Linked DNA regions of Pelodiscus sinensis. The protein of the gene in region 1 interacts with the protein of each later gene in a pairwise test. Links are inferred from orthologs where the notes say so. Each region holds a gene or a part of one and is shown on either strand. Other genes may lie near its edges. The genes, in order: CLK4 and UBL5.

Evidence for each region.
Region 2: the proteins of CLK4 (region 1) and UBL5 interact in a two-hybrid assay, tested with the Homo sapiens proteins (2 studies listed by BioGRID and IntAct). The link is inferred for Pelodiscus sinensis from reciprocal best matches to the Homo sapiens genes CLK4 and UBL5.

The regions. Positions count from the first base shown.
Region 1 is NC_134727.1:32,819,105-32,828,975, reverse strand, and holds the start of CLK4 (dual specificity protein kinase CLK4), read left to right. Parts: upstream 1-5,182; 5' UTR 5,183-5,330; intron 5,331-5,336; exon of another isoform or gene 5,337-5,475; intron 5,476-7,474; coding exon 7,475-7,629; intron 7,630-8,770; coding exon 8,771-8,996; intron 8,997-9,871. UniProt on the Homo sapiens protein: Dual specificity kinase acting on both serine/threonine and tyrosine-containing substrates.
Region 2 is NC_134729.1:14,651,154-14,661,341, reverse strand, and holds UBL5 (ubiquitin-like protein 5), read right to left. Parts: upstream 4,119-10,188; 5' UTR 3,986-4,118; intron 3,798-3,985; 5' UTR 3,789-3,797; coding exon 3,733-3,788; intron 3,542-3,732; coding exon 3,458-3,541; intron 2,487-3,457; coding exon 2,449-2,486; intron 1,412-2,448; coding exon 1,368-1,411; 3' UTR 1,138-1,367; downstream 1-1,137. Other genes in the region: FBXL12 (F-box/LRR-repeat protein 12), read left to right, coding at 4,146-4,240, 4,834-4,906, 5,964-6,773. UniProt on the Homo sapiens protein: Ubiquitin-like protein that plays a role in cell proliferation and sister chromatid cohesion by associating with spliceosomal proteins. Participates thereby in pre-mRNA splicing by maintaining spliceosome integrity.

The DNA.
Region 1 (9,871 bases):
AATGGTGTCTCTAATATGTCAGACACTGGGAATGGATGACAGAGGGTGGATCACGTGAAGATTCCCTGTTTTGTTCATTTCCCTCTGGGGCACCTGTCATTAGGCACTGTCGGCAGACAGGATATTAGGCTAGATGGACCTTTGGTCTGACCCAGTCTGGCCATTCTTATGTTCTTAGATTGTTGCAGTGGTAACAAATACTAATAATTAATGATCCATCCATGTCTAACCTTAGTTCCGCTTCATACTGAGAAACAAAAGGAGAAATGGGGTTTTTGGTTTGATGGAATCTGTGTTTAAAGCCTTATTGTCAAGAAATCGTCCAAGGAAATCTTCATGAAACAGTTTGCCCAAAGCTGCACTGCCATGCTGTCCATAATACATGCATGTCTATTCACTAATATTTGGCAGGGGTAAAAGTGAGAAATCAATCGTACACGTACACTACAAAGTAGAGAAATCAGCTGTGCACTAATGGCCATGTTTGACTTTAGGTATACAGTCTCTGTTCTAGCAAAAGCCATGCTACGCCTTAGTGGTTCAGTACTAGTTTGAGAAGGAGACGCTCCCGGGAAGCAAATCCCAGAATGTGATGTCTTGCTAACCTGGCATTGCCAAGGATGATATGTCCACAAAGTGCTCCGTGGCAGAGGCACTACATCAGAGAACCCGAAATAGGTCCAGTTTTGAGATTTACTTTCAGAGATCCCCTTAGAAAAGCTACTGTAAATAAGTGAGTTTGAATACTGACGTGTTGGAATGACAATCCAGGTCTAGTTTCCCATCATTTGTCCTTGCTGCCTTTAATTGTTGTGTATTTTTTCTTTAACAAAACTGTGTTGGTTGGAGTTCCTCAAATTGCATTGCTGTGTGTATGTTGTGCATCACAGGAGCCTGGAAGAAAATTGTCCAGTGCCCAGATCAGTACATGTGGCCAGATGCACCATACCAAGGATTTGCTTGTCTCTGAGACATCGGTGCTGGATGCAGGTTACCAAATGTCATTCATTATAGAAAATTCCATGTGCCCACAGCTCTCGCTTGTCTATTGGTCAATACTGAGCTAATCTATAACAAGTTATACGGAAGCAAAATCTGCCACTCTGCCTCATTGATTCTGCAAGTAGTCTCATTGAAATCAATCACACTGATCCATAGATCTTTGACCCCATCAGGAATAAGAAATAGGTGGTCTCAGTGATTCACGTTTGCTGAGTGATGTATAGTTTCTCTTTTTAGAGCTCCAATCAATTTGCCTATGGTTGCAGCTTTCTGGCTTAGACAGCAAATCAATTGTATTAAATATTTTTGCAAGGCCTTGTGGTGTTGCGTAGGAGAAACACCCCTAGTACAAACTGTTAGCTGTTTGTTTAAGTCTGTCCATGATAATACAATTAGTCAACTGAGACACCAGATTGCCACAGAAGAATTCAGAAACAGGGAGAAACTTTCTTCAGCTTTCACAGGGAATACAAATCACCTAAAGAACAAAGTGAGTGTAATGCTTGGTCATTTTGTTATGAGGCATTGAGGATGTATTCATAAACAGCGAGAAACAATTTCTAGACTGTACAATTCATTATAAAATTTGACAACGATGTTAATAGATTAGCTACTGATGCTAGGCAAGAGACAGAGATCTAGAGATATATCTATAACTCATGCATACATATATCATGCAAGTGTATTTAAGATTAGTGAATTATCAGTTTCCCAGGGTGGAATTACAGAACATCTTTAGATACAGATCACAGACATGCTGAATTGAGAGGTGCACCGAATTGACCAGGACAGCTGAAACCCATTACCTGATACAGTACCAGTTAGCCCTTTGTCCTCTGGAACTAGGATGCATTTAGGGTCTCAGAACCTCAGTCCACAGGACAGGTATAATCTTTGCCTTATCTTCTGATGATCTCCCTTAGCTCACCATCATCACCTCAGTCTTCTCAAGGATGGAACCTTCGCCAGCTCACCCTCATCCATACTCATATGTTGAAAATGGAACTAAACTGCACTCTGAGTCATACAAAATGGAGGGATGAAGCTGAATATCATCAGCATATAGAAAATATGAGATTCCATCCCACGTCGCCTCCCCAATTCCCTCACCCTCCAATGATCCTATATACTGAAGGGGAGGAATGATGTGGTAGGGTCCTGTGTGGTACCCTCAGGAGAGAAAAACAAAATATCTAAAACTACTTTCTGGGATTTCTTATATGGAGAGAATGAAGCCACCACATGGCAATCAGGTCTGCTCTTCAGCCAGTCTCCAATGGAGGTAACAGCACTCCATGACTAATATGTGGTAGATCAATTAATAGCGGTATCTGATCTTTAGCTATTGCCAGAAGTTCATTGACCAGACCTGTCTCAGGTGCTGTAACCTGTTCTGAAGCCAGAGTGACAAAGCTGGCGAAGCTCAGAGGTGTCTATGTAACCTGCTGCTTCAAAGTTCTCGCCAGAAATGGAAGATCAGGATGACTATTCTTAAAGGAGGTCATGAAACTCTCCATCAGAAAAGGACGCAAAGTTTTCCCAGTAGCCATCACCCACCAGGTAAGGCATGAGTCCAATGAAAGGTCTGTGGTATAAAATTCCTCTAAGACATCAAGAACTTCACAGAACACCACCAGAGTAGGTTCTAGCACTGATCTAGCAGCCATCCACTCAGGGTCCTGCTCTACTGTCACAGCAGATTGCTAGGTATGAAGCCTGCACAAAATTCTCTGCAAAACAGCAAAAGCTCTTTTCTCCCAGTGGGAGGTGCGAATTGACAAATGAGCCTTCAAAAGAAAGTAGCCTAGACAGAATGGACCGTATGCTATGCAGGTAGGTCTGCTGAGAGAGACAGTGAAGATGCTAAACACTCTGTAGGAGATGCAAGCATTCCTCCCCTGCACAACTAAAAGCATAGGACCTCATGAAATCCTGGGTCAGGAGCAACAAGGACATTACTATATTATTCACCAGTATGGTTAGTAACAGCTGCTCTGTGTGTGCAGATATCACAGTATTCATATTCTCATGTCCTTCCTAAGAGGGTTGTTTTCCATCAGAAATCAGACTCCTCCACAGGCCAGCCACCAAGGGGCAAGGAGAGGGACTGGAAGTGCAGGGCTGTGAGAAACTGAGTGCAGTAGGCATGAAAACCATATTTCCTTATACCAAATATGGGACACCTAATACAATTATTCATATGCAAGCAAGTTCAATGGCAATCAATCAGAACTATGCAGTGCAAACGTTCACATTAACATCAAGTTCACAGAGCCTCTGTTGAAAAGAAATACTGTGTAGCTAGAGTCTATTTAACATCTTATCTTTAAGGCTTTAGGATTCATTCATGAAGAGGTGATACACACCCCCCATACAGACACAGAGGTGACACAAATATTCCCCTATACCTCTCTAACAAATGCGGGGATGACTCAACCCTACCTCCCTGGTGTTCTCCACCCTCCAAACCTGGCTTGGCCCCAGGAGAGACCCGCCTCTCTTGGTATGTGGTGCTGCGTCTTTCATCACATGTTTGTATATCACATGATTTCTGCCAGGGTTCACAACAGAATATGGCCAGCAGCAGCTTTTTAGCACTGTGCCGAAGGGAAGAAATGGGAGCTGCTTCAAGCTACCAGAGGGATTGGGGGGGGGGGGGGGGGGAGGGAGGGGAGAGCTGGCCCTTGTCTGCAGAGTCCATCTCTTCCCCTTCTCCCCTCTGCTCACCAATAGCTGGAAGTAGCTTGCCCCTTCCTGCCCACACAATGTAGAAAGGCAACCAACACCTCCAGGCTACTGCTGGCCACTGACATAACCTACCTACCTCCTGTCCCTCAGCTACAGCACACGTAGGAAGGAGTTAAACCCTAAGGATGCCTCATGCGCCAGGGCCCAGGAAACCAGATTTCAGAAAGTTCAGCGAACTGGGCGTGAGCGGTGGATCAGCTGGGGAAGGTGCCCAGGGGACAGAGCAGCCCTACGCTCCCTGCAGGCAGGACCCAGGGTCTGAGAACAGATGAAGAGGTACTAAAGCCCATTTTCCAGGGTCTAGGTGGGGGCACAAACAGGCTGGAAATTGTTTTTTCTCCTCCATTCCAGAGCTTAGCTCAAAAGCAGAGAGTGGCCAGTTCCCGCGCTATGTGGGGCTTTATCATGCTGTGAGTCGTGGGCTTCCCCAGGGCCTGACCCAGCCAGAGGCAGTGGGGGAAGGAAGGAGCCTGCTGACCAGGCGGTTGGGGAGCTGAGCGCTCCAACTTGGAGCTGAGCGCTCCAACTTGGAGCTGGTTCTGTGCACAGAGCTGAGAGCAGGAGATGCCCTGACGGGAGCATATGAAGGAGCCATGGGCCTAGGAGACAATGAAGGGGTGAAGCAGGGAGAGAACAGTGAAAGGGGGAGCACATAAAGGGCTGGTAGGTGGGCAGGAGTGGCAACACAGAGCCAGCCACCACCTGACGTCTACCTGCGCTCATCATCCTCCACAGCTTGCAGCTACAGCCTGTGCCAGGCAGAAACAGGATGGGGGAAAAGACCCTGATGTCCGAGAGTTGACACCCAGTGGGCGCTGTGCTGATGGGACCAGCCGAGGGAGTGGCGGGCCCCACACGCTGCAGCTTGGCCCCGCCACCAGCCTCGTGTGCGTTCGCACACACCCCACACCACCATCGTTGGCACTGCACTCCCGCACTCACTAGCGGTGGGAGGGGATGTGGCCAGCAGTAGGACCCGCCAGGACTGAGTGGGGAGGGAGACAAAATGCAGGACAATCTGCCTGTTGTTGGGAGAAAGTTGGGACACCTACAGGAAGGCTTAAATATGGGACAGTCCCTTTAAAAAGGGGGCATCGGGTCACCCTAGCAGTAGGGCGTGCTCAGCCCCCCCCCCCCCAACCAGCTCCTGAGTTTTTTGGGCACCTAAATCCATGGGAGTCAGGTGCATAAAAGACCCTTGAGTGCAGGGGCCTATGGGCAGCTCTGTGCTTTCCACAGCCTCCCTCTACCCCGCCCCGCCCTCACAGGGCGGGATCCTTAGAGGACCCCCAAACAGAGGTCACGTCTCAGTGTCTCCTCTCCCCCCCCCCCAAGGGGCGGGGCCGTAGCGCCTCCCTCACCCGCCAGCAGGGGGCGGAGTCTCAGCGTCTCCCTGCTCCCTAGTCGCTGCGGCCGCTGAGGGGCGGAGTCCCGTTGTGGCCCTAGCGGGCTGCGTGTGACGCCATCGCGCACGGGCGGGCGGGGGAGCCGTAGTTCGCTACTCTCCAGCGCTGGGCGCGGCCGCCATTTTGTTTGTGTGAGGAGGGCGGAGACGGGTGTCGCTCAGCTCCTCGCCTGCCGTAAGTCGCGAAGACGACACCCCCCCCATCCCTTGTCAGGACGGGGGAGGCCAGCGCCGTGGTGGACTCGAGCCGGCTGCGGTCGAAGCGGGGCGCTTATCGCTTCAGCCCGGGCGCTGCGGGCCAGGCAGGGGGGCTGCCCGAGGTGATGGGAAGCGGCCTGAGGGGAGCTTGGGGCGGGAGGGAAAGATTCTGAGGCTTTTTTTTTGGGGGGGGCGGGCGCTTGGAGGTGATTCGTTTCCAGGCCCTCACACGGGTGGACCCGACACCCGCCAGCTGTGCAGCTTACTCCCCTGTGAGAACCCCCCATACTTCCCCCTCCCCCCCACACATCCCACCCCACACACGGCTCCCCCCCCCCCACATGTTCCATCCCCTTCTGCATCCCCCATTCCCCGCACACGGCCCATCCCCCTCCCCTGTAGATCCTCCCGGCCCCCCCCTCTCGCTCTCACAGCCAGGAACTGCCAGGGAGACAGGGTCTTGTATCCTGACTAGATTGGGGTCTGCAGAGGAAGCAGGTATCCGTAGGGGAGCCTTCCCTGCCCGGGGCCAGTGGCCCCCACTGCTCCCCTTCAGGGGCCCCAGTGCTCCTTGGCTGCCCTGGCAGCTGCTCGGAAGCACAGTGGCCTGTAATGGACCTGGCACAGGCAGTTCAGAGCTGTACAGAGTCAGTAGTTGTGTAATGTCAGTAGCTGAAATTGGCCTAGGGAGCTAGTGGGCGGGTTGGAGCAATGGTTCCCTGTTTTAACCTCCTGTGAGCATCGCCAAAGGTGACGGGAGGGGATGAGATCCGCAGGTGGAGGTTGCAGGACTTGATTCTGGAATGTATCAGGATGGCGAACAGCTGGATCCTGCTCTACACTGGGACAAGGCCTGGCTCAGATCTCGCAGTGTGAGGATGGACTCCTGCTTCCCGCAGCTCCCCTTGGCTGGAAAGGGTGAACTACTGTGTGTTCATGGATGCTTAGATAAACAAAAGTGTCTCTTGGCCTGCCAGTGGCTTTCCCAAACATGCCCACCATGACCTAATTTTTAAAAACCCCTTATGTACGCCAACTGAAGAAGCTCTTCTGTCATTGTAGTAGTACAGGGATTGCCAACCTGTGGCTCTTGAGCCACATGCCACTCTTTGCTCACAGGAAATGTGGCTCTCAGGGTTACAGCTTGTTCGGAGCCTCATGCCTACTTTGTGCATATCCCTCTCCCTCCCCCCCCCCCCCCCCCCCCCCCAGTTCCTGGAGGGAGAAGTGCATGGCTGTGGCGATGGCAGCTCTGGTGAGACCCAGGCATTGGGTTAGAATGGGAGGGGGTTGGGGGTGCCTGGTTCTGGCAGAGGGAGAGAGCATTGAGTTAGAGTGGGGAAAGCTGGGGGGGCCTGGCTCTGGAGGAGGGATGTGTGGCTCTTTGCACTACTATCCACAGCTCCTTTGGCTCTTCGTGTCAAACTGATTGGCCACCCCCATAGTAGTATCTTCACTAAAGAACTATAGCAGCACAGCTGCAGTACTGTTTGTGAAAACAAGCCCTCAATGTAGGATTGAGGATTTAATCTGTAACCATTTTTATATCTTGAGAACACTGAGCCCTTACTACCCTTAGGCTATGTTTATAGTACATACCTTACAGCAGCACTGCTGTACTGCTGCAGCTTTACTGCTCTAAGATCTCCAGTGTAGCCATTCTATGCTAGCGGGAGAGAACTCTCCCTGACATAATTAAACGATCCCTAATGAGCAATGGTAAACTGTGATTTCTGTATGAATCCGTCTCTTGAATCTGGATTAGGAATGTAAAATCCTGTTTAATTGGTTAACCAGTTAAACAAATTATTTATCCAGTTAATCATTTAAAGGGGTTGGCTGAAGTGGCCCCCCTTGTCTGTGGTTCCACCCGTGCAAGAAGAGGCTGCACTGGCCATGCTGGAGCAGCCCCTATCCACAGGGGGCACACCATAGGGTTGGAGTAGATCCTGCCTGTGGCATATAGTGAGCTGCTCCAGCTCCCACTGGTTTACCTTAACCAGTAAGCGGGTGAGGTTTAGCAGTTAAACTTTCACATCTCTAATCTAGATTAGTAGACTGTCATATCTGTGTATACTGAAATGGAACCATTTTTTCCCCCTTTAAATATGTCAATGAAAGATGCAACATTCAAAACGAAGTCATTGCTCTGAGTGGAATGATAGAAAGAGCTGGGATCAAGGAAGTCACAGTGTTCCCCATAAACGCAAGAGGTCCCACAGCAGTGACAAAGAAAGCAAACCCCATAAATCACATCATCTTGAAGTTTCAGACAGGTAAAAGATTCTTTGAATTACCAATACTGATATCTCTAATTGTAAGTAAGATTAATTTAAATTAAATAAAAAATTGTTTTGAGAAGACAAGACTTGCTAATGCCTTTAGGAGTTGGCTCATTATTTGCCACGCTTAAGTAATGTATCGTTTTAGTGATACAGTGATTAAATTGTTTAGTTGTGATTCTTTGATACAAAATATTAACATCCAATCTGTTTCTGTGAAAATCTGCCTGGTAAGGATTTATATTGAAATACAATATGCAGTATTAAATTTTAATAAAATGTTTCTCGTGTGTAAGAGGATGGAGGAAGAAGGTGAATGTTTGCTCTCTTAGAACATTTTATAGAAGGGTAAGTATGGGTTAGATTGCTTTCATTCATTTTTCAGGTGTCTTTCTTTTCTTTCTTTTCCTTTAAGAGGGGATATAGGTCTTCTGTGTCCTTCCTTTGAGAAAGGAAGACCATATTTTAAAGAACTCATCAGTTTGCTTCTAAAATGGTAGGAGTGGATGTGCAGTACCATGAGATTCTCTTTTCTGTGCTGCAGCTTGCATGATCCCTATTTTCTGGAGGGAGAGTCTTCGCACCAAAAATCTCTCTGATTCTTAGTGTTTTAATGTAGCACACTAACAACAGGATTTTAAATTCTTCAGGGTGGCAAATTGGGTTTTAAGAGTTTCTCTTATATGCTTGTGTGGTTTAAGGAGAGGGAAGGAGATAATTGTTGTATTCAAGAAAGCTTGGGCTTGCACTTCATCTTTTGATTTTTGTATGTTTTAAAGAGAGATTTGAATTGTTGGAGCGGAGTATGCCAAGTACTTCTATTGAGATGAATATTTCCTATTTGCATTTGGATTTCTTAATACTTGTACAGGTTATTCTGCGTACACAATTCCAAAGTAAGGTAATCTATATTGGATGACTTAATCAACTCCGTCATATAAACTAGCCTGAAAATCTCTAGCGGTTTTCTAGGGGGGAATTGTTGTAAAGCAAAATTCCTTCCGTAAATAAATATGCCATAAATGTACATTTAAGCATTAGCAACTCAAAGATATTTATTTTGTTGGAACACAAGTATTTTTAAAGTGGAGAATATTTTTAAAGTGGAGAAAATTCATTTTAAATATATTTTCAGCCATTATTTGGATGACAAATTCATAAATGAGAGAGATCATCATGACCGGAGGTATGTTGAAGAATACAGAAATGACTTCTGTGAAGTATATGACAACAGGCATTATCACAGAGACTATGAAAAGAGTCACCGTCACCACCATAGCAAATCCTCTGGTCGGAGCAGGAAAAGTAGTCATAAAAGGAAGCATAAAAGGCGTCATGGCTCTGGTCACCATTCACATTCGGTATGAGTAATTTTTAACTTTATTATTAATAGATTAGTGATAAAATTCTTTAGTGAATGTCAGAACTTACATTGCTAAGCCACAAGTATCTGGGACAGATATATTTTATATAGAAAAGGTTCATAGGTGAGCCTCTTCCTATGTATATATACAACTTAGAGGAGAATTTTAGGTACGCAGTAAACAGGTAGCACTAAGGAAAATATTTATCATTAGTACTATTTTATCGAAGACTTTGTTCTATTGGCAATATCCTTTGGCCAGTAGGTAGGTTACCTACTTTCTCTAAATTCTGGTGTGGAAATGATTGCAAGCACCTTTCTTGCTTCACAGTATAAATGTCACAGTATGGTCAAATAGCTATTTTACAGCCAGTTTGAGAACTGAAGTAATGTACACGATTATTTAAATATAATAGATAAACATGACAGTACAACTGATGTCTATCTTTTAATACGTAACAGACACTTCAGTTCCATACCTTGCTCCTTTCCTAGTTGTGATCATTCATGTGTCTGACTAATGGCTATTGAATGTTTGTTGAAATTTGCAGAAACATGCGATTTGTATTTTTTACTGTGCCCATTTGAATAGTTTCAGCTCTAAGAGTTTTATGATTCTAAGTATTCATACTTCCCCACTTTTCAGTAGAAGTAGAAAGCTATGTTAGATCATGCACTGAAGTTCAAGGGCTTTTGAGTAATTTTTCCACTGTTTCTCTAAATATGAAAAATGTAGCATTGCTTGATAAAAATCTTAATTTATAAAATTATTATGTTTTAAAACTTTTACTGGGTCAGTCAAGGAATTCTCCCTTGGTTAAAAGACCGTATATATACAATACAATAAAGATTATATTTTCCCATTTAATTACA
Region 2 (10,188 bases), on another chromosome or scaffold:
GTGACTTTTTGCTCTCCCTATTATATGTGCAATTTCATATCACATTTAACTCTCAAATAATAGCTTGTTGTACAAACTAGAGATGAGATCTTGCAGTTTGATGTTAGAAGTGGTATCACATATTACTACTAGCAGGTAAATGTTTTCCCCAAAATACACTAGGAAGCATATTTCCAAATGTTAAACATAATTTCTAGTCCTAGTAAATGTCTTACGTTGAGGATAAAAAGCATCATGGGATACAGGTTACACATTTGGTGATTAGCTTGGCTTCTGTTTTTTGTTTTGTAAACTGCTGGGTGATCTGATTGCTCTTGTTTCATTTTGTCAGGGCTTCTAGAACAGAGAAGCAGGAAGGAACTTTATTGATGCACAAATAAAAAAGGCTCAAAGAGATGAATAACTAAAAGTTAGTAGAAAAGGCAAGATGTCACTACAGGCAAAATAGAAGAAAGTGAAGCACCAGGTGTCTGAGAAAGGATGTCACAAAAATGCAAGTCCATCCAGCAGATGGAGCAGCTACAAACAATGAGACAGGAATTCAAGAGATTAGTTCAGGTTGTGCAGGAAAACGTATCAGGTTCCTTATCCCAGTACAGGTTACAGGGTGGGTTTAGTGCAAAAGGAGCCTGGAAAAGGGTGACAAGGGAATAAATATAACAGCTTTGAGAGAAGTTGTATCAGACAGACTTTCCATGGAAACCGGAGACTGCATGGGTTAAGAATGAAGGTATTCGGAAGGCTATTACTGCTATTCCTATTACTTGTTGAAGCATTTTTTTTAATCAATTGCTCTTCTTTCACTCTTAGAAACAAGTGTGTGATGGGAGAGTTGGTCGTATTTTCCTGCCCAGATCATAGCTTAACCACAGTACTATGCAAAATTTCTTTTAAAAATTAAAAAAAAAATCTAACTTGAATATGACAGATACAAACCCGAAGCAAATGTGCTGCTTACTCTAACTAGAAGAGAGTCCCTCTGAGCAGATGGATGGAGAGTGCTACAGTATTATTCTGATTCCAGAAAGTTAAATGGGGTCTAAAGCCCACTGCTTTCCAACAGCTGCATTAATTTGGGCTGCTATGTCAGTTAAAGAAGAGATTTCTTCTGACAAATCCAGGAGCAGGATACAAAAGTTATCAGGAAACTTTTATTGCAAACATTTTTTAAAAATAAAACAGCCTTCTTACAAGTTTGCAGCCACTTTTATAGCCATCAAAACTGAAGATATCTGATAAAACTGAATGCACAACTTGAGCTTCTAATTTTTACCTTACATGAAATAAAGTTTATAGACAAGTTTTATAGCAGAAAAAAAATGTAGAAAAGTGATGCCTGCCATTTGTAACTGCAGCTAGACTCAAGACTACTGATAATATAACTCCAGGTTCATGCCATCATGGATTTCATCTGAAAGGAATGAGTTAAGGGGAATTCCACAGGAAATGCTCAAACGGTAGGTGACATTAGGTTTCTCCCTGGTCAATAATTCAAAATAAATTACAACAGCAAGTTTATTCTTTGATACATTAGACAAATTCTCACATAATTCTCCTTCCCACTTTGTGTGTTTCTATCGCAAATTGATAAAATAAATTGCTAGTGTCATGCAAGGGAACATGGGTCATATGCAATACTGGAAGCTTCAATACCATAACTCAGCAAATGAGTCCCATGTCACAGGCTACCCACTCAATTTAGTAAGGGACTTTTTCCCAGAGGTCCACCAGTTATCTTATGGTAGCCTACCAATACCATCAGTCACTAGTACCCAAAGAGACAAATGAGACCTTTGGTTTATAACAAGCAACTACGTCAGATTAGGAAGTGTCTCTGTTTAGCTATGTATTTATAATATGTCCATCGCTCCACTTCATAGGTTGTGGATCTTTTAAGTGACTAGAAGAACTACCCTGAATTGCTCAGGTCCTTTATTAATTTTTGGTATCTTTGGAAAACCAAGTTCTTCTGCCTCCTGTGCTTCCCAGGCAGCAAGAGAAAGTGCACAATGCTCCCTTACGAATTGGGGAAGATCTTCAGCCCCCCTCCCCTTACCAAAGGGTGCCTGGAAGATGGGAGGCTCAAGACTAGTAAAGTCCTTGACACAGGGTAGGGAGGGGCTGGGCCTGTGTACGCATGTACCTCCAGCCAGCCCCTTCACCAGGCAGGTGAATTCAGTCTCTCTTTTGTATGGTTTTATGAGAGACAATCCCATCCCTGGCACAACCCTATTTCCTGGCACAACCAAACCCTGACCTTGGTTTGAGCTATGATAAGAGGAAGCTATATACCAAACTGGTGCTCCTAGCTCTTGAACGGACAGACTGATTTATAACCAGACAAACTGAAACATATGGCAGATAAAGAACACAACCGTTATTTTAATTAGACAAAGGCTTTCCCCAAAAGCTGCAGTTTACACACACAAGTCTAATGTTCAAGGATACAGTCTCCCAGTGACACATGGTCTTTGAAGATTGTGTACCTGCACAAATGTGTCAAAAAGAAAGTTAGTCAAGAATAAAAGTGTAATACAAGAACAAAAGAAAGTATAGTCAATAGTAATGGAATAATTAGGATAGTATCCAGAGTCTTGCTGTTATCAGTTACAATAGAAAATCATAGAGGCAATGCTTTAACAGATGCCAATCACAGGTTCTGCGGGGAGAAGGATGACACTGCCAACGTGCAGTTACAATGTGACTTGTATAGTAATTTCACACATATTGAAGTTAGAACCACCATACTAGGTCAGACCAAAGATCCATCTAGCTCAGTATCTTGTCTTCTGACAATGAACAATGGCAGGTACTTCAGAGAGAATGAAGAGAACAGGTAACAATGAAGTGTTAGAGGAACAGTAAAAAATTATGTAAAAAGACAGAGAATCAAACAAAAATTCTGAATTGAATGTCACTGCTGGTGAGAGTATGAAGGAAAACTAACTAGCGTTTCTGGAATAATTTGTAGTTATGTACACTTTTATTTTATAAGGCTGCTGCCCTTCCTTTGAGAATTTAAGTGAAAGATTTATCAGTGGAGCTCCCAAGAACACTGAACAATAGAACAGGGAAGGTACAGAATGTGAAACGTCTGAGAATTAAATTCAGAACCTAAAAGGAAATCTTAAATGAATACATACTGGAAGTCTGCAGCTACATGCCATCACCATTTCCCCTTCGCTGCTGCAGGTCCTTGGGATGCAGTGTCCCAGCCTTCATTACCTCAAATGCAGCTACGTTGCAGTATATGTGGTGGGACGGGTGTGGACTGTAGCTGAAGGCCATATCAGTCATCCACATATAGGGAAGCGTACAGAACTCAGTTTACCTGCCTTGGGAGACTTTCCATGGGGCTGAAACTATTGCACCACAGAGTCCAACTACATCGAGCCTGATGCGCCTGAGAACTGCTAAGCCACTTTCCTTCCTTTGCCTCTGCATTTCACCCACTTACCATTTCTTCAGCACGATTTTGTCCCACCGGGTGCCAGTTTGAGCTGCAATGAGTTTCTTTAGGTCGCCGATCGTGTCCTCAGTGCTGAGTGACTGGGTTAAGGAAACTACATTCAAACCCACGGAACAAGCCCCCGGAGAGAGCAGGACTGGCTGGGCCAGAACCCCTCCCGAAGGAGCGAGACGTTTATGGTCGCCTTGCCCGGGGGCGGGGTCCCAGACTCCCACCAGCTCGGGGCCCTCCCCGCGGGCCGCCCCTCACTCCGGGCCGGATACTTGCACTTGACTCGCACCTTCTTGCCCAGCCGGTCGTTGCAGACAACCTCGATCATCCTGCCGGCCTGGGGAGCGAGAGGCGTTAGCAGCGGCCCCCCTACGGCGCAGGGAGGGGGCCCGGGGCGACCCCGCCGTGTGGGACCGGCGCCGGGGGAGGGAATGGCCGCCCACGTGTGGGAACCCTGCGGGGGCGGGGCTCGCTATGAGGCCGAACGGGGAGTCCCGGGCTCGCCCCGCCCCCGCCCGCACTCACCGCCGCAGCTCGCACCGGCCCGCGGGTACCTAGGAGAGCGCCGCGGACAGTGAACCGGAAGCGGAAGAGCCCTGCAAACGGAAAGCGAGTGAGGCCGAACGGAACCGGAAGTGCTCTGCCAGCGGAAGTAAGTGGGAACCGGAAGCGGAAGTGCTTGGCGATGGCCGCAGCACTGAGTCTGGGGGCGCTCCCCGATTTCCTGCTAGTGGAGATTCTGTCGCTGCTGCCGCTGCGCGATCGGCTGCGCGGGGCCAGGTGACGGCGCGGGACCCCCCCCCCCCCGAGCGGCTCCGTCCGGCCCCGCGGGCCCCCCCCCCCCGAGCGGCTCCGTCCAGCTCCGCGGGACCCCCCCCCCCGAGCGGCTCCGTCCGGCCCCGCGGGGACCCTCCCCCCCCCGAGCGGCTCCGTCCGGCCCCGCGGGGACCCTCCCCCCCCCGAGCGGCTCCGTCCGGCCCCGCGGGACCCCCCCCCCCCCCGAGCGGCTCCGTCCGGCCCCGGGAACGCCCCCCCCCCCCTTCAGCCCCACAGGAATCACCCTCCCTCCCCCCCAGCAGCTCCATCCACTCCCACGGGAGTCCCTCCCTCCTGAGTGGTTATAGCGAGATCTCCTCTTCATTCCGCCATGGGAAACACCCCCGCAAGTGTCTCCATTCAGCCGCAGTCCCCATAATTCTTGCCTGCTCCCATGATGGGATTTCTCCTAGTTGTGTACATGCCCCTGGAAGGGGAGTGGGTCATTCATGCCTCCCGGATGGATACTCTCTGCCCTCCCCGGGCATGTGCATACACACAACTGAGCATGCGGGCTGCTGCCGGGATCATAACCTGCACTGCTTCTGTCCCCGTAGGGTCTGCAAACGCTGGCACAGGCTGGTGCAGGACAAGATGCTCTGGAGATATGTGGATTTAACACCATACCAGGTACCAGTCCAGCTGCATGCCTCCTACTCAAAACCACTCTACAGGGCTGATAAATTCTGTCCTGGGGAAATGGCAGAGGGGCCTTTGTGGCTCAAATACCTGCACTTGGGATCCAACATGAGAGATGGTGAAGAAAAGGAGGACTAGGAGAGATACAGTTAAGATATTTCAGGGGCATGGGGGGAGGAGGAGTGATGTACAGGAGCCTAGTGTTGGACAGAAAGGTTGACCAGTCTCTGAAGGGCATTTTTAAAACCAGAAGGGTTGCTGAAAGCAAGTTCCTGAAACCAGGGGTGGTGTCTGAGGAGGGAGGGTATGTGTGTGTGTGTGTGTGTGTGTGTGTGTGTGTGTGTAGCAAAAGGCAGCATCAGTATCTGATACATGCTAGAGTTTGAAGAGCAGGGACTGAGGTTGCTCGTAGGTAAAGGAGCATCAGTAGTCAGGGTAAGAGGCAATATAGTGTAGGATAGTGCCTGTGGTTTACCCTACCAGTGTCAAGTACCTTTTTAAACATATTTAAAGAAGAGCAGGATGGGCCTTTCTTTGCTCATTTATTGCTTTCTAGGGATGTTAAATATTGGTTAATTGAATATTCTATTAACCTCATGAATTCTTATTGGTTGCTCGACTATTCTGTAGTCCCTGGGGGTGGGGCCGTCCATCAGTGCCCTCCGGCCCCACTCCTGAGGAGCCCCCTGCCACTTCATGCTGCTGCCTCTGTATCAGAGACAGCAGTGTGGGTTAGCAGCAGTCCCTGTCCCAGGGGGATGGGGAGGGGTGGTCCAGAGCTCCCGGACCCAGCACGAGCCGGAACTGAGCTGGGCTGCCTGCCCACCTGGCTCCTAATGCACTTCAAATGCAGAGCTGCAGCGGGGTAGGTCCCAGACCTGGTGTAAGCCGGGCTGCTAGCCAGCCTGCTAAAAACTGTACTGGCAAGAAGGGTGGGGAGAATACATGTCCTCTATAACATTAATCAATATGCTTTTGCTTATTGGTTAATCGACTACACTATTACGTCCCTAGTGCTTCCGTAGCATTTTTTCCATTTCTTGTCAAGGTGCCAAGTGCTTTCTTGCTGCTCTCTTGTGCTCAGATCAGCTCCAGGATCTTGTGGCACCTGCTGCGGCAGCACCTGCGCAATGGCCTGAGGATACTGAAAGCGAGAGGAGCTCTGTGCTCAATGAGAAAACAAAGATTCCTTTCCCCCGCGCTGCTGCAGGCACTTGGGACGCAGTGCCCCAGCCTCCATCACCTGTGCCTGACAGAGGCCGACCTCCGTCTGCTCCCATATGACTGTATGCCAACTTCTCTGAGGACCTTGGAGCTGAGCCAGTGTGAGATCCCTGCTGTGTGGTTCCAAAGATCTGCACCTCCTGAGGCTCCCAGAGTCCTGCTGCAACTGCAGCATCTCATCATCCATAACGTTCCTGCTTTTTCTGATCAGCATCTGTTCAACATCTCATCTCAGAGCAGCTTGAGGACATTGAGCCTCTCTGGAACCTACCGGCTGACCGACGCTGGGATTCAGAGAGCAGCACCGCATTTGGAAGACCTGGAGTGTCTGGTGCTGCACAAATGTGTCATTACAGATGCTGCTGTTCACTTCATCAGACGTCACATGAAACAACTCCGCTCTTTGGAAATCAGCAGTGCTTGCTCCCTAACAGATGCAGGCTTGGCTTGTATAGCAGACTTGAAGTGCTTAGAAACCCTCTGTCTTGCATTCAGCCGTAAGCTGTCTCCTAACGCCATTGTTGCTGTGTGCCAGGCACTGCCCCAGTTAAAACATCTCCATCTAGATGGGATTGACTTGGAAGACCAGACAATACAGAAAATTCAGGCGAGTTTGCCCAACTGCAGTTTCTAATGTGCTCCCTGACATGCGTTCCAAGTGGCGAACTACGTGAAACGCACGAGGGTGAGCTGTGGGATATTCACCCCGACATAACATCCAGAATTGCTTCGTATGGGCAGGTTCGTACCCCCCAAAGTACTTGCAGGCGGAATTTTCTCTAGCTAAAACAGTGAGGTGAGCAGTGTCGAGTGAGGACTAGCCTGATAGCTTGTATCACCTAAAGACAGGCAGCAGAAATTCTTTTCTGTGCTCTGCTTGGCTGAAGTGACCCCCACACCTCCTGCTAAGAAAATAGCCAGGCCAGGTAGATGGACAGCCTGTGTGGTCCAATGGCCCGATGAGCTGATTTGGATTGGAGACAGTTTGGCAGCGGGAGGAGGGGGAGGGGTTCTCTTTAGTTTAACCCTGTCTCACATTAAACCTCACACAATAGCTGAGCTATCTCCAAGCACAAGAGAGTAAGTCAGCCGTCTCCTGAAACACAAAAGGGTTTGGTTGCCCAAATTTGGACTCGATAAAATTTAACCCAGGTCAAAAGGCATCTCCACATTGCTGTGCTATGAGCACACTCCTAACCATGCCTAATAGGAAGTGGATCAAGGATTATACAAACATGTTTATAACAGAATGAACCTTCTTACAGGCGTGGAACAAGCGGAAAGAACCTGGCATGTTCATTTTCCAAACAGACTCCAGCCGAGTACCTCATAGTGTGGTGCATAGGTGACTGTGGTTGTGTCTTGTCCTGTAGGATGGAGTGGCAGGGGTTCTGCTGTGGCCCAGGAGGATGCCTGGAAGGAGTGTAGGGAGCACCCAGAATGCAGTTGTCTGCAGGAGGGGGGGGCGAGCATGCACCTGCTTAACCTGAAGTTTTGTCAGAGACCACAGCATGCCTGTCTGCTCCCTGAGCGGCACCATCATCCTTATCTACCTGTTTATCCTGTCCTCGCTATCCCTCTGCGTTCTGTCCCGAGTGTCACCCGGCAAGCCTGGAATCGGACACAGCGGAGCCTTACAGGCCCTCCTGCTACATGTCTTCCCTTGTCCTCTTTCTCCTGCTATTTGAAGGACTGCTCTACTGGTGTGGACGGAGAGGCCTTCAGTGCCACACTTGCAGCTGCAAAAGAACCAAGGGACAGAAGTACTATTGTGAGTATCCCCACCAGTTACAAGTACAATGTTCTCTTTCCTTGGGATCCGTAGAGCTGGGCTGCAGGGCCACCTCATGGGACAGGGTGAGGCAGGACAGTGTCAGGCATCGGTGTAAGCAGATGGGGCAGTTGAAACTTCACTGGCTCCCACAGGCAGTGGAGTGTTAGCAGATACCTTGCTCCTGCAGGTAACGGAGGCAGAAAGGAATAGCCCCTGCATGCGTTCAGCTGCTGACCTGGTCTGTATGCAGTTAGCCTGTGTGCTGCAATGATGCCTACTGCATTAATTGTGCAGTGGCATGGGAAAGTGACCTACTATGGTGAAGGAAGTAGGGCAGCCGCCTCCCCCCCAGGCAGCCTTCGGCAGGGTTTGTAGACTGCTTCCTGAGAGCGCTATGGAGGGTGCAGGGGACATCCTGGTGCTGCATGGCCTCTGCCTAGCTGTCCAGGGAGTGAGGCAGATGGCATCTCTTTCACTAACGGTTATTTCACTGTCTCATCTAGCCTGTTTGAAAACATGATATGTGACCAGATGCGTCCCTGCAATACTGAAGCAAATGTCCTTACCAGAGGTTCTTTCCCCTGCATAAGACTTGCTGATGCTGGATCCTAGGGACTGGCTTGACAGCTCCCATGTGGGGAAGAGGTCTGGGCTCACCACTCCACCGTCCCCCACGCCCCTCTCCCTCATTCGTCCAGTCAGGATTCACTGCAGCAGTCATGACTCCAACTTCTCAGAAGTATCTGCAGGGCCCAGGGGGTGGGGAGGAGTCACCGCTGAGGATGCCATGCAGCTCCTTGTAGAAGCAGCATGTTTGCACCTGGGCATCACAGTAACTTTGCCTCCTATGCCTTCTGGTGAGCCTGCTGTAGTTCCTAGGTTTTCATGTTGCACTGCTGCATTTCCCTGTTATACCCCTTTTCCATCATGTCCCTGAGTCTCCCTGGCCAGGGAGATCCATGTTTCTGTGCCTGGAGCGGCGCTGTGCCTGCACAGACCCAGGAGAGCCATCATATCTCGTGTGCTCAAGTCAGGGCATGTTTGCTGCATGCAACCAGTATGGTCGGCTGGGCCGATTCAAGGCGAGTCTCCCTCCTGAGCAAACAGGAGATGGAAATTCCAAAATTCACAGGGCTTTAAAGGGCGAGGGGCATTGGACAGTGGAGTTCAAAACAGTGACCAGAGCAGTCGTCGTGTAGCATTGTGAGACATCTCCTGGAGCCATCAAAAGTAACAAGTAACACGGTGTCTGTGCCCACGCTGCATCATTGTAACTATTGTCAACTTAAGTGTTACGCTCCTTAGTGGAGGTGGCGTTACTAAGTTCCTGTAGCAGGCAATTTACTTTGGCGGGAGCACCATTGTACTGTCGTCTGAGACAGAATTATGTCGACACAAACCACCTTGTGTTGACCTAAATCTGTAGTGTAGAAGCGGTCCAAATGTATGCAGATAATTGGAGCATAGACCTCAGGGATTATATAGTATTTGAGTAATATTAGCAGGCTGCCAGCAGCCAGATCCTGCTCCTGGTTTGTTGGGTGACATTGCTGTGCATGGCTGCTTGTGCCTTCTATAGTTTAAATGCTACCTCATCTTTCCCCGATGTTACAAAGCCCTGAGATCATGTTAGCAAATTTTGGCTGACATTAGGATGGTAGCACAGCACTGTGAAGCTTCCATTCTGGGACAGTTTTTAGATCTGCGGAGTTGTTTGTAATCAAATGTAACATTTGTGCATAAAATAAAAGTGCTTTTAAATCTGTCAAGTTGTCTTATGCTGTTAGATTTGGACAGAAATATGGCAACAATCTTCGTGAGGCTTTTTAACAGGTTTTGTGCTTCTGTTGCATGGAGTGACCTACATTCTTGGCAGTTTTATCTCTTCTACAATTTAGTATTGCCTAGTGGCTCAAGCTAAGAGCCATATGTAACCAAATGTGGGACACAGGGGCCGCTTGATGCCAGAGGCAGAGGGCACAAGGGTACACAGAAGTGCAGGGTTCCCAAAAAATATTTTTGGGTAAAGTCTCTAATGAAATGCTGTCACACTGGTCATCATAACCACTGAGAGATGTATGTATGGAAATATGTGCAAAGTTATATGTAGAGAATGAAAATTATGTTCTCTAGGCCTGCATGGCCCAACCCCCACTAAATCGTCCCAGCCAGGGCTTTGTCAAGTCGGGCATTAAAAAACTTGAGGAATGGAGATTCCACCATGTCCCTAGTTAATCCATTGCAGTGCCTTACCGCCCTCAAAATAATTTTTCCT